Caenorhabditis elegans: one gene and its partner. The protein of the gene in region 2 interacts with the protein of the main gene of each other region in a biochemical or structural test. Each region holds a gene or a part of one and is shown on either strand. Other genes may lie near its edges. The genes, in order: mihp-1 and sprr-2.

What was found.
Region 1: of the proteins of sprr-2 (region 2) and mihp-1, one has a biochemical effect on the other in vitro, tested with the Caenorhabditis elegans proteins (2 studies listed by BioGRID, with this or other methods).

The regions. Positions count from the first base shown.
Region 1 is NC_003279.8:13,400,708-13,404,735, reverse strand, and holds mihp-1 (MIP-1-5), read right to left. Parts: upstream 2,289-4,028; 5' UTR 2,249-2,288; coding exon 2,224-2,248; intron 1,546-2,223; coding exon 1,439-1,545; intron 1,391-1,438; coding exon 1,263-1,390; intron 1,179-1,262; coding exon 1,122-1,178; intron 1,004-1,121; coding exon 958-1,003; 3' UTR 632-957; downstream 1-631.
Region 2 is NC_003284.9:14,798,115-14,805,046, reverse strand, and holds sprr-2 (Sex peptide receptor-related protein 2), read right to left. Parts: upstream 4,928-6,932; 5' UTR 4,880-4,927; coding exon 4,792-4,879; intron 3,889-4,791; coding exon 3,788-3,888; intron 3,744-3,787; coding exon 3,571-3,743; intron 3,526-3,570; coding exon 3,400-3,525; intron 2,965-3,399; coding exon 2,883-2,964; intron 2,834-2,882; coding exon 2,736-2,833; intron 2,159-2,735; coding exon 1,976-2,158; intron 1,858-1,975; coding exon 1,773-1,857; intron 1,727-1,772; coding exon 1,598-1,726; intron 1,553-1,597; coding exon 1,473-1,552; intron 1,023-1,472; coding exon 812-1,022; 3' UTR 690-811; downstream 1-689. UniProt on the Caenorhabditis elegans protein: G-protein coupled receptor for the neuropeptide like protein nlp-38. Plays a role in several types of aversive gustatory associative learning including gustatory plasticity and salt avoidance learning.

The DNA of each region.
Region 1 (4,028 bases), on a different chromosome or scaffold from region 2:
CCATTCACCTAAAAATATGACTCTAACCATTCACCTAAAATTATGACTCTAACCATTCACCTAAAATTATGACTCTAACCATTCACCTAAAAGTATGACTCTAACCATTCACCTAAAATTATGACTCTAACCATTCACCTAAAAATATGACTCTAACCATTCACCTAAAATTATGACTCTAACCATTCACCTAAAATTATGACTCTAACCATTCACCTAAAATTATGACTCTAACCATTCACCTAAAAATATGACTCTAACCATTCACCTAAAAATATGACTCTAACCATTCACCTAAAAATATGACTTTAACCATTCACCTAAAATTATGACTCTAACCATTCACCTAAAATTATGACTCTAACCATTCACCTAAAATTATGACTCTAACCATTCACCTAAAATTATTATATTTCGTATGCCAATCTATTTTTTGGTATGTTAATCTATTCTTCGTAAAAAATAGATTGGCATAGGAAAAAATAGATTAGTCCCCCACAATTCCGAATCCGATATCTCTTCGAAGGGCAAAAACTCAATTTTTCTAAGTTACAGTAACCCTACATAAATCCTACAGTACTACTACAGAACCCGATTTTGGTGCAAATTATTTTTTTTGTTGGTTTAAAAACACGAAAAACATATTCATTTTTTGTTGGAAAAGTGAAATATTTAAATCCGGCGAACAAATAATGTTGATTTTGAAAAAGAAGAAAAGAAATACAAGCAGGGTGTAGACACAAAATGTTTTTTTAATAAACAAAAATTTTCAACTGAAGAGTGACGATCTCAAAAAATTTCAAAAAACCTCAATAATTTAGGACAAAAAGCACAAAAATAGGGAAAATGTAGGAAAAAGGAGATGAAAAATAAATTTTAACTTCGAAGTATCGTGATGGCGGTGGAATTTGGCATGGAAGTGTTGGCGGGCTGGCGGGAAATTCAACTTTTTTAAAGTTATCTTCCCCAAAGACCATTGGCACGTTGCCATTGAGCTGGTGATCTGGAACAAAATATCAATAATTTCGAGAACAAATCAATGGCTAATGGAGCAAAAGTTTAAACTGAAAGAAGCGTGGCAAATTTTAAAGTTTTCGAAAAATAAAATCAGTAATTAATACATTTTTGGAATTCTCGCAAACGTCATCCTGCCCAGAAATCGAGGGCTCAAATTGCTCCTGTAATGGTTATTGAAATTCACAGAGTAAAAAAAAAAAAGATCTGTGTACATTTTTTAACAATAAATTTGAATTCCCGCTCACCTTTTGTACAACATCGTCACGTCATCATCTCCGTTTTCAGTTGTGTAATCGTCATCGAACGAAGAAGCAGACCGTTTTCCCCATAAACTGTTCAGTTTGTTCCAATTTTGAGGGGTTCTCTTGTCTTGCTGCAAGAAAATATGTTGTGTGTTGCCAAGATGTTACCGAGAACTAACCGACGCTTCTTGAACAGACCGTTTACCCCACAATCCGTGTGCCTTATTCCATCCCAACACACGATCGTCTGAAGCCGCCAAACTCAATGAGATGAGCATTGCCAAACCTGCAAATTCTGGGGTTGCAGTAACAGATTTGAAATGTTCAATAAACTCAAACGATTGAAAATGGAAATTTAAGCATTTCGTTGGTTGGTAGTTTTTTGATAACTCTATTGTCTAATATAACTAGTTGTCTGCATCTCCTCCTCGCACCACACTAAACGCTCATATCTCTGCTGTGGAAAGAGTTACATAAAAACTTCCAACTGACAAAATTATCAGCTTAAAATGTACAGTATTTTGTCAGTTTAAACCGTTTTGTTAGCTCTAGCGGTTACAGAGATACAATCGATTAAAAAAGACAGTGTGAGAACAGAGAGGCAAGAGGACGCAGGTTGTCTCGTTGTCTGCGTCTCTGACAAACTTCTGACAATTGTATTTTAACAGCGGATTAAACTTCTTAAAATAGTTGTATACTGGCAAAATAATCAGATTTTTATCTGGGAATATTTTTTAAACTTTTTCTTTAATTTTTATTTGAACGTAAATTTCCAAAATTCATCCAACAAAAAACAATTTATCAAAAACAAGAAAAAGTCTAAATATAGTTTTCACAAGAAAAAATTATTTCTGGTTCCCCTGGCCAGTTGGTAACAAAAGTTTCCACCCACATTTCATTTTTCATGTGGCCGACAATGTGTCAAAAAGGGGAACAAAGGTCCCAATGGAGCACATTCACTTACCAACAATAAAGTGTATCAGCTGCATATTTCTTTTCTTTTTGCGCCTTCTTTTGTTTTGTAGACCCTGGAAAAAAATGGAATTTGGTGTGAGAACTGATGTCAAAAGAGAAATGTTAAGTACATGGGAAGTAATTAGAAAAAGAGAGAGAGAGAGAGAGAGAGAGAGAGAGAGAGACCATGTGGCCTGCTGCGAAACGCAGAAAAGTAGTGTGGCTCACAGCGAGGCGCAGATGCGCAGAGTGTCTGGCTGAGAGATGCAGACAAATAGTTGGTTTTGTTATCTGCGTCTCCACCTATTTCTTTCAATTTTAACTCCGTGTATCTCTACAGTTACTTGTCTCAGAAAAAATTTGCCAACTACAAAAAATGGAAAAATGTACAACATCAAATTTTACAGGTTCGTTCCAGTTTTCATGTTTTCCCCAATCGCCAACACGTCATGAGTCCTTGTAGAGCTCAAACTCCACAACAACACCGGAAGTGTCTTAGAACTCTGAAATTAACAACAACGGGCGGTCCGTAATCTCCGCTAAACCCCCGCGCTGCAACCTCAGACAACGATCGGTACGAATGTGGGAAGTAATACGAATTATTTAGATTCGATGGGATTTTGAGAGTATTTTTACATCAGGGATGTGCGGCAAATCTTAAAATTTGCCGAGCACAGCAAATTCGGCAAATTCGACAAATCCACTTTATTGAATATTGCCGAACTCGGCAAACGGCAAATTCGGCAAATTTGCCGCACACCCCTGTTTTAGATGTGTGAGTATAGGTCTGAAAATTTGCAGAGTGAGTAACATTTTTTTTTTGAAAAATCGTCTGCATCAGTAACTTTTTACGTTTAAAAATCTTTTAAAAAAATGAAAAAATCTAAACTAGACGCATAAATTGTATTTCGATAGTTTTGGTGCAAGTGTTAAACAAAGAAATTGAGAAAAAACTGAGGTTATGTTTAAAAGACTCCAACTTGCCAAGAATTCACATAATCAAAAAAATTTACTGACAAAATGTTAACCATAAGTTTTTACATATTTTGTTAGTTGAGACAATTTTGGTAGCTTTTCTAGTTATAGAATTACACCATCTCGAAATCATGCAGTTTCTGGCCTAATTTGAACATTTCTCGTTATAGGGGATTCTAGAAAGCTCGAAAATCTCACAGAACATTTTTTTTTAATAAGAACCATTTTAAATGATTTTGGAACTTTCGACTAGGTAGGTACACTGGTCTAGGTTATTTTAAACATTGTAAAAAAAGCTATATAAATTTCTGGACCAAAATGAGAAAAGCGGACAAGATAGTTTTTTTAGGAAAAAGTTCCAAAAATTTCCAGCTGGCTTCAGCAGTCACCAAAAAAAGTAAAAATAGTAGAAAAATAAGCACCAAAACTCAAGAAGTTCAAAAGTAAAAACACTTTCTTTCCTGAAACCAATAACTTTTTTCTCCAGTTTTTTTCAAAAACTTGTTCAAAATGAGCTAATGAGCCAAGAGCCACCCGGCTCCAAACTCCGCCTACTTTTTTTGTATACGTCAGCAGAAATAGCAGAAGCAAGAAGGAAGACAATGTTCTCATGGGAATTTCAGATGGAATATAGTGATATGGAAAATCGGCAGGGGCAAGGGAGCAAATTTGTATATCTATGAGAAGCTGGATTTTTGGAATGAAAATTTATTGCAATTTTTATCTTGATTTTTTCGATTTTTTTTCGCATTTTTTCCAAAGGTCGAAAATTGAAATTTATTGTCTTTGGCTAGAGAAAATAAAATTACTTCAAAAGCATTTTTATAAGAGTATGTTTTG
Region 2 (6,932 bases):
AAAACAATTCCATAATGTTCTGAACGATACTGACATGTTTAATATTTGCAAGATCACTCAAAACTTTTACACACGATAAAATGTCCCAAAAAGTATTTAGGGGGCACCCGGAGTTGAACCAGGGACCTCTCGATCTGCAGTCGAATGCTCTGCCACTGAGCTATACCCCCGTGCGGTAGAACAAGAACAGGCTACGGAAACATGTTTGTCGTGTGTGTGGTAGGGGTGGTCGGCCACATTGCAAACATATTTCACACCGGGTCGATTATTCCTATTTTGTACGCAAAAAAAAACCTTTAAATTTTCCAAAATTGTATGCATTCATTTCATTTTTCAAAATTTTCTGAAAATGGGTTGAATTAACTCAAACTAAAAATTTTATTGAAAAATGTAAAACTAGCAAAATATTTTGTTTTTTTTATTTATCTATTTAATAAAATAGAGTTCGTCGCGCTGGAAACAGAGAAAATACAATCAGAATAAATCTATACATATGTAGAAATACAAAAGACCAATTGAGTAATATCAAATTCGTCCCATAGACTCATTTTAAATAGTACTGCGGTAGAGCGTATTTTCCATGTACCATACCAAAATTGTAGAATAAAAATTATTGTCGCTTTGATTCTTTATGTTTTTTTTTGGTTTGAAAAAACTAAAATACGTTTGCTATTTCTGAACTATGAATACAAATTTTAAATGCATTTATTTCGAAGTAAAAAAAAAGAAAATTAAAAAGAAAATTCACATTTAGGCGAAGTTATTCACAATGTTCAAACATCTTAATTTGCAGAAAAAAAAAGAAAACAAGTTAATCACTCCTATCCATCGTTGTAAACTGAGTCGACTGCCTATCCGATACAAGATAATCGACGTGCAGACAATGATGGGATACTTGCATGAATCCCTCAGAGTTTGTGCAAACATTCACCAAATGCGAGCAAATGTCGGAACGTCGACGACTGGAATGTACGGCACTTGCAGCTTCGATTCGCCGTTCGCATTGGAGTTGACTAGCGCCACTGAAAAGTGGAACAGTTCATCTTGAATAAATTTTGATACCATTTTTTTCAACGTTGAATTCATTAATTATAAGTCAAAGCAATAAATTTTAAAGATATACATAGATATATGTTCAAAGAAAACTATTCATTGCGGATTGGGGATTCAGGTACACTGCCTGGTGGTGCTCAGACTGGGCTGTAACTTAAGTCTGGCCGATATATGTAGCCGATAGTCCAGTTGTGGATTGCTCTACTTCCCAATAAAGGCTGGGTGAACCTAGGGGTGAGGCTGGACTTAAACTCGTGACCTCCAGTTTGCTAGCGGCCACCACTACCGACTGAGCTATAGATACGACTTTCAATTTTCAATAAATCGACAAAGCTGCGCACTGATCAGAAATCAAATTACTTGAACCATTTTAATAAAGTTTTAATAAAATTGAGTTTTTAATACTAAAAAAAACTTACGGACAAAACAACAATTTGAAAGTTTGTCGAAAACTGCTTGACATAAAACAGTAGATTCCAAAATTGATGGGATAAGTAGCCTTTAAATAGTTCTTCAAAAATCAGAACGCAAATTCCAAACTTACAATAACGATCATATTACTAGCGATAAGAAACACGGCAGGGAAAGTTCCTTCTAATATTGGAATCTTAATTGTAAACGTCTCACAGACACAAAGCAGGCCCATAAATATAGCCTGCGGCAAATTTACAATCTGAAAAGTGATGCATTTCGGTTGAAGCGGGTTTTGAAATACTTACCAAAAAAATTGAAACAATAGCAACTAGCATAAGGCTTGTCGAATTGCTATCTCGTTGCCGAGCAGCTTCTTCGGAACGTTTTTCTCTGAAAATAAGCTTTTTTTTAACATGTTCTGTTAATTTTAGATTTTTCATAATTTCCGGTCAAAGTTTTGGCAAAGTGCCAAAATTTTTCCCAAGGTAGCCACAATTTGAAACCAAACCTCAACAATCGCAGCTTCCGCCGCTGCGCTCTTCTAATACCCTTAATGAGAAGGCCATTGAGCAGGACAAGTAGGAAACTTGGCAAAATAATGAAGCCGAGCGCACGTGTCCAGAAGTAAATATTAAAGTACACAGTTTGCCCCATATTGGTTAATATCGCTGTAGGCATCATGACGCAACTGCTGAAATTTGAGAAAATAAGTGGGGAGTTGGTGGGATTTTTTTGAGACACACCAATGAAATATCAACAAAAAAAATTTGAGTGATTCACAAAATGCCGAATTTCAATCAACTTCATAATATTAGAAAACCGCGTGTTATTTGAAATATTATACTAGGAAAATAAGTTTGAACTTTTGGAAATTACAAAATTTCAAAAGTGGAGCACCGTCCTGGGTAAACTTGAATTAATTATCTTTGAGAGGTCCAACGTGAAATTCCTTAGATTTTTCAAAAAATTCAGTTGACTGCCGCTTTTCAAGAGGTTTCAAGCACTTTTGAAGGTTTGAACCCCTAGAATTTGTATACATATAATAATAGAAATACGTAATTTTTTCGACTTCCAAAATTGATAGGTCTTGGTAATTTCACTTTTGTCTGCGATTAAGAAAATTTCAAAGCCCAATTTCAAGCCAACATGAAACTAAAAAACTTACTGTAAGAAAAAGTTAAAACTTACTGTAAGAAAAGTTCTTTACGTTCTAACATTACTTGATCTCCCAGTCCTAATTCCTTAATACTCAAATTCGAATATTTTACCTTGCATACGTCCAGTTACCATGCGAATAAATCCATCCGTGAACTGTTTCATACTCATAATCAAACGACTTTGGAAGTCCACAAAGGAAAGATGTGACCTGAAAACCCAAAAAGTGAATTTTATATAATCAATAAAAAATTTCTTACAGTTATGATCATTGTTGCTAATCGAACATTTTTTACATTACACGCGGATCGAGAATGCAATGGATGACTTATGGAGACGTATCTGTAATTTGTCTAATTGGCTGAACCTACACTATTTACCTGGAGTTTGAACTTGTTTAAACTCTCTTTCAAACATTCGAAACATTTTCTATACAATGCTCAAAATTTAAACGTAATGTGCCAACCAAATCACTGTAAGAAACTGTGAAACTGTTAGAAATTTCTGAGAAATTTCTAATTAATTTTCTTTCAATTTTGCAACTAAAAAACGTTCGATATAAAAAATTATACGTCCAGACCTAGAATGCAGCAATTTTGAAACCAAGTAATTTATTTGTGCGGGAATACAAACTTAATATGAACTTTTGGATTTTTTGTTGCATAATTGAAAGAAATTTGAAAAATTTCGAACGATCCTATTACTATTTTACAGTTATATTCCGTATATTGAGATCACAATGCTCATTAAAAATGAAATATTAAAAAAGAAACTCACCTTTGTGCCGCCAGAAGTACCGTCAACCACATGGCAATCATATGGAAAACTGGAGGAAACGCATCCATACTGTACTTTTGTAGATAGCACCACCATAACTCTAACCGATGTGTTTCTTTGATATTCCTGAATCATATTTGCATTTTATGACATTTCGACAAGTGCTCTCACCCCATTGAAAAAAAGAAAAGAGTCCAGGGCAGTGGGACGAGTCCCACTAAAAGTTCCGCAATAGCCATGTACTTCAAAACGACGTTAGTTGGAGTGATCATGTGCTTCTTCGATAGAACTAGCGCAACAGCCGCATTCGCAAAAACTGCGAAAAGCACCAAAATTGGGAAAATCTGAATCATTTCAGTGTGGCAAAGTTGAAAAGAATATCACAAACCTGCCCATAAACTACAATCTCTAAATTGTCGAATTGTGTCAGAGGCAGTAGATACTTGTCTTTCACACACGTTCTCGAGCAACCATCAAAATAAGACGCGTCTGAAAATTTTAATTTCGAAAAAATCGAGTTTTTATAGGTGGAGTAATTAACAAAGTAACTAAATATTTGTACTGTTTTAAATATTCCAAAAAATATTTCAAAAATGTTGAATTTAATAATGTGTCTACTTGAATATGTCTGTAAATAAGAAGAAAAAATTCAAAGTATTAATTTAATCAAAGTTAAAGGTTGAGTAGCGCCAGTGGGGATTTTGTCTAAATGCACTTATAATGATCCAAAACAACCGAATATCAAAATAAAACACTCCAAAAATTTTTAGATTTTTCATAATTTCCGCTCAAAGATTTGGCAAAGTGCCAAAATTTTGAAAAATACGAGCTTTTGAGGAAATTTAAAGAGATGACGCATATTTCGACTCTTACAATGTTTTATTACAATTAATTCAAACAAAATTAAAACATAAACCATGTCGAAAAAAAAAATTTTTGGCCGACTTCCAAAATTATGAGTGGCAAAAACTGAGTAATTGCCACTTTTTGACAGTAAATAAAAAATTTTATCATGATATTTGGTCATTTCGGGACCAACGGAGTGGTTTTTAACAATTTTCCTACTGGCGCTACTCCACCTTTAATTTCCAGCAACTGGGACAATAACCAAATATCAAAAATTTTGTTTAAAAAGTTCTTAACGGTTTTATTCAATATGCTCATTTTATTTTGTATTGGAAAACATTTTGGAAGTATTATAGAAAATGAAATTAGCTAAAGTCTTCAAATTTTTTTTTAATTTTTAGCGCTCATTGTTGCACATTTCTTTTATACATATTTAAATGCAACTGTAAATGGGCGCTGACCAATCTAATATTGGGCTGAACCTTTTTTTAGGTTTACTTGTACGGTTTTAATTTTAGACTTTGTAAAAATTTCCTTTATACTCACCTTGTTCAACACATGCTTCTGCAAGTTGTTGAACTGCTGAGCTATTTGGCTCTGCATGCGCATTGCCGCAATAAACTTCGTAGTTCATGCCCTCCACAATTTCACCACCTCATGACGATTTGAATATAGTGTTTTCCTGAAAGTTGGGATCAAAGTCACAAAGTTCGATAAGCTTGAAATAAATAGGATAGGGTTAAGGGGGGATCTAAAATTTAAATGAAGGAAGCGACGGGTGAATTTAGTCTCTGAGAAGGGTCCTAGGCACAAAGGCAAACAAAAGCGTTAACCGCAAAAAGTTGGTCAAGGAGAAGAAACCTTGGTCCGCAAAATTGAAACACGTAATTTCATGAGATGGGCACAGAAACATCAAGCTTTGTCTCCTTTTCATCCCGCTTCTTTTTCTTATTCGCTTTCTTGTCATTCATCCAGAAAAAAAAAGAAATAGAGCCAATTGATTTTTCGCGTGACTACACTGCGATTAAATAGAAAGTAAGGATGGGCATGAGATTCCAAAAACCGGTGCACTTTTTAAGAATCTCTTATTCCTTGAAGGAATTGAGGAATGAACAAAAAAAATTGCTAACTTTTTGAGAACTGCTTAAATACTCCAAAATGGTGTTGCGCCAGTAGGGATTTTGTCTAAATATGTACATTAAAAATATTCCAAAAAAAAATAGACATGCAAAATAGAACACAACCAACGTTCCTAGATAAGTTCGGTCCCGTAAAATGTTCAAATGCTGATAATTGTAAAACATGTCAGAATATGTAATTCGTAAGTAGTTTAGCATAAAAATGACAATAAATAATTGTAGTTGGTTTATATATTAGACACAAACTCAGAATGGTCAAAAAATAGCATAATGGCAAAAAAATAATGCTACTATGAAAAGTGCCCCCCAGGTTTCATGCACTTTCATCCTTATATTTGAGCAGAATAAAAATAAAAGTTCAAATAAGTACAAAATCCATCAATTTCAATTTTTTTTGTGACGGAAAAATGTTTCTGACCTTGATATTAAACTCTCGTAATGTGCTCATAGAAGCCTTACATTTTATTTCATACAAGGAACAAAGGCGTGTCATTTTTTTTTAATTTTTTGATCAAATTACTTTAAAACAAATGAAATGTCTGCTAATTTCTTTTTGAAAATTAGTTTTTAAACTAGCTTTTACCAAGACTGAAGAACCTATAAAATAAAACAAAGACTTAGAAAATATCAAACGCCAATAAAAGTTTAGAGCCACTAAAATAGATCAAACACTCAAAAATATGAATTTCACTACGTTTCGCGTCAGGTGCGTCAGGTCAATATATTTCAAAAGTATTCTCAAAAGTTCTAGCTGCTTCTACTTTTGTGAAGAATTGTTGAGTAGACCTGCGTGTTAGAAATGGCTTTCTTCGAAACATCCAGGATGCAGGCATTTTCGAGATTTTAAAATTATCTTCTAGAAAGTTGCAACAGAAACAAATGGGATTTTGTTGTTAACATATATAAAACCAACAATTGCAATAGGGTTTGCTATTGTCCAGACTGTCTATAGCTCTTTTGATAGCTCCCTGGAGCTAGCAAACCCACATGCAACATAAGTTTGTGAGCTTTTGTGGTGGCACTATGGATCAAAAACCGGATGTTCGTGTAGGCAAGTGAAAATGAAAAAAGAAGTTTTCAATTCTAACCCGGATATTATTTTGTGAATAGGTTTTTAATGAAAGTGTGATGATGGCTGTGTGTCATCTGATAATTTGATAAAAGCCCTGGATTCAATTAAGGCTTCACTTTGATCCAGGCTTTTCGTTTCAATTGATGAGCAAATAGTGGGGATGGGAATAACGAGAAGTGTACTTTGAGGAAATTCAAAAAATCATTTAAAAATAAGGTATGAGCTCGAAAACATAATCTCGCAAAACATAAGACTTTTGGCAAACTCAAACAACTCTCCTCAAAACACTCGAAACTTATTGAAAAAAATTGATTCAAAAATTCGAAAAACGCATTGAAAAATATTAATATCCACCTCCCCTTCACTTGGTTTGGGCATCTCAAGGAAGAAATGAACTTTCTTCCCCCCCCCCCCCCCCCCTCCCGTAGCTCCTGCTCTCAGTCTCCGTCTTGAATAATTTATTTTCATCGACGTAG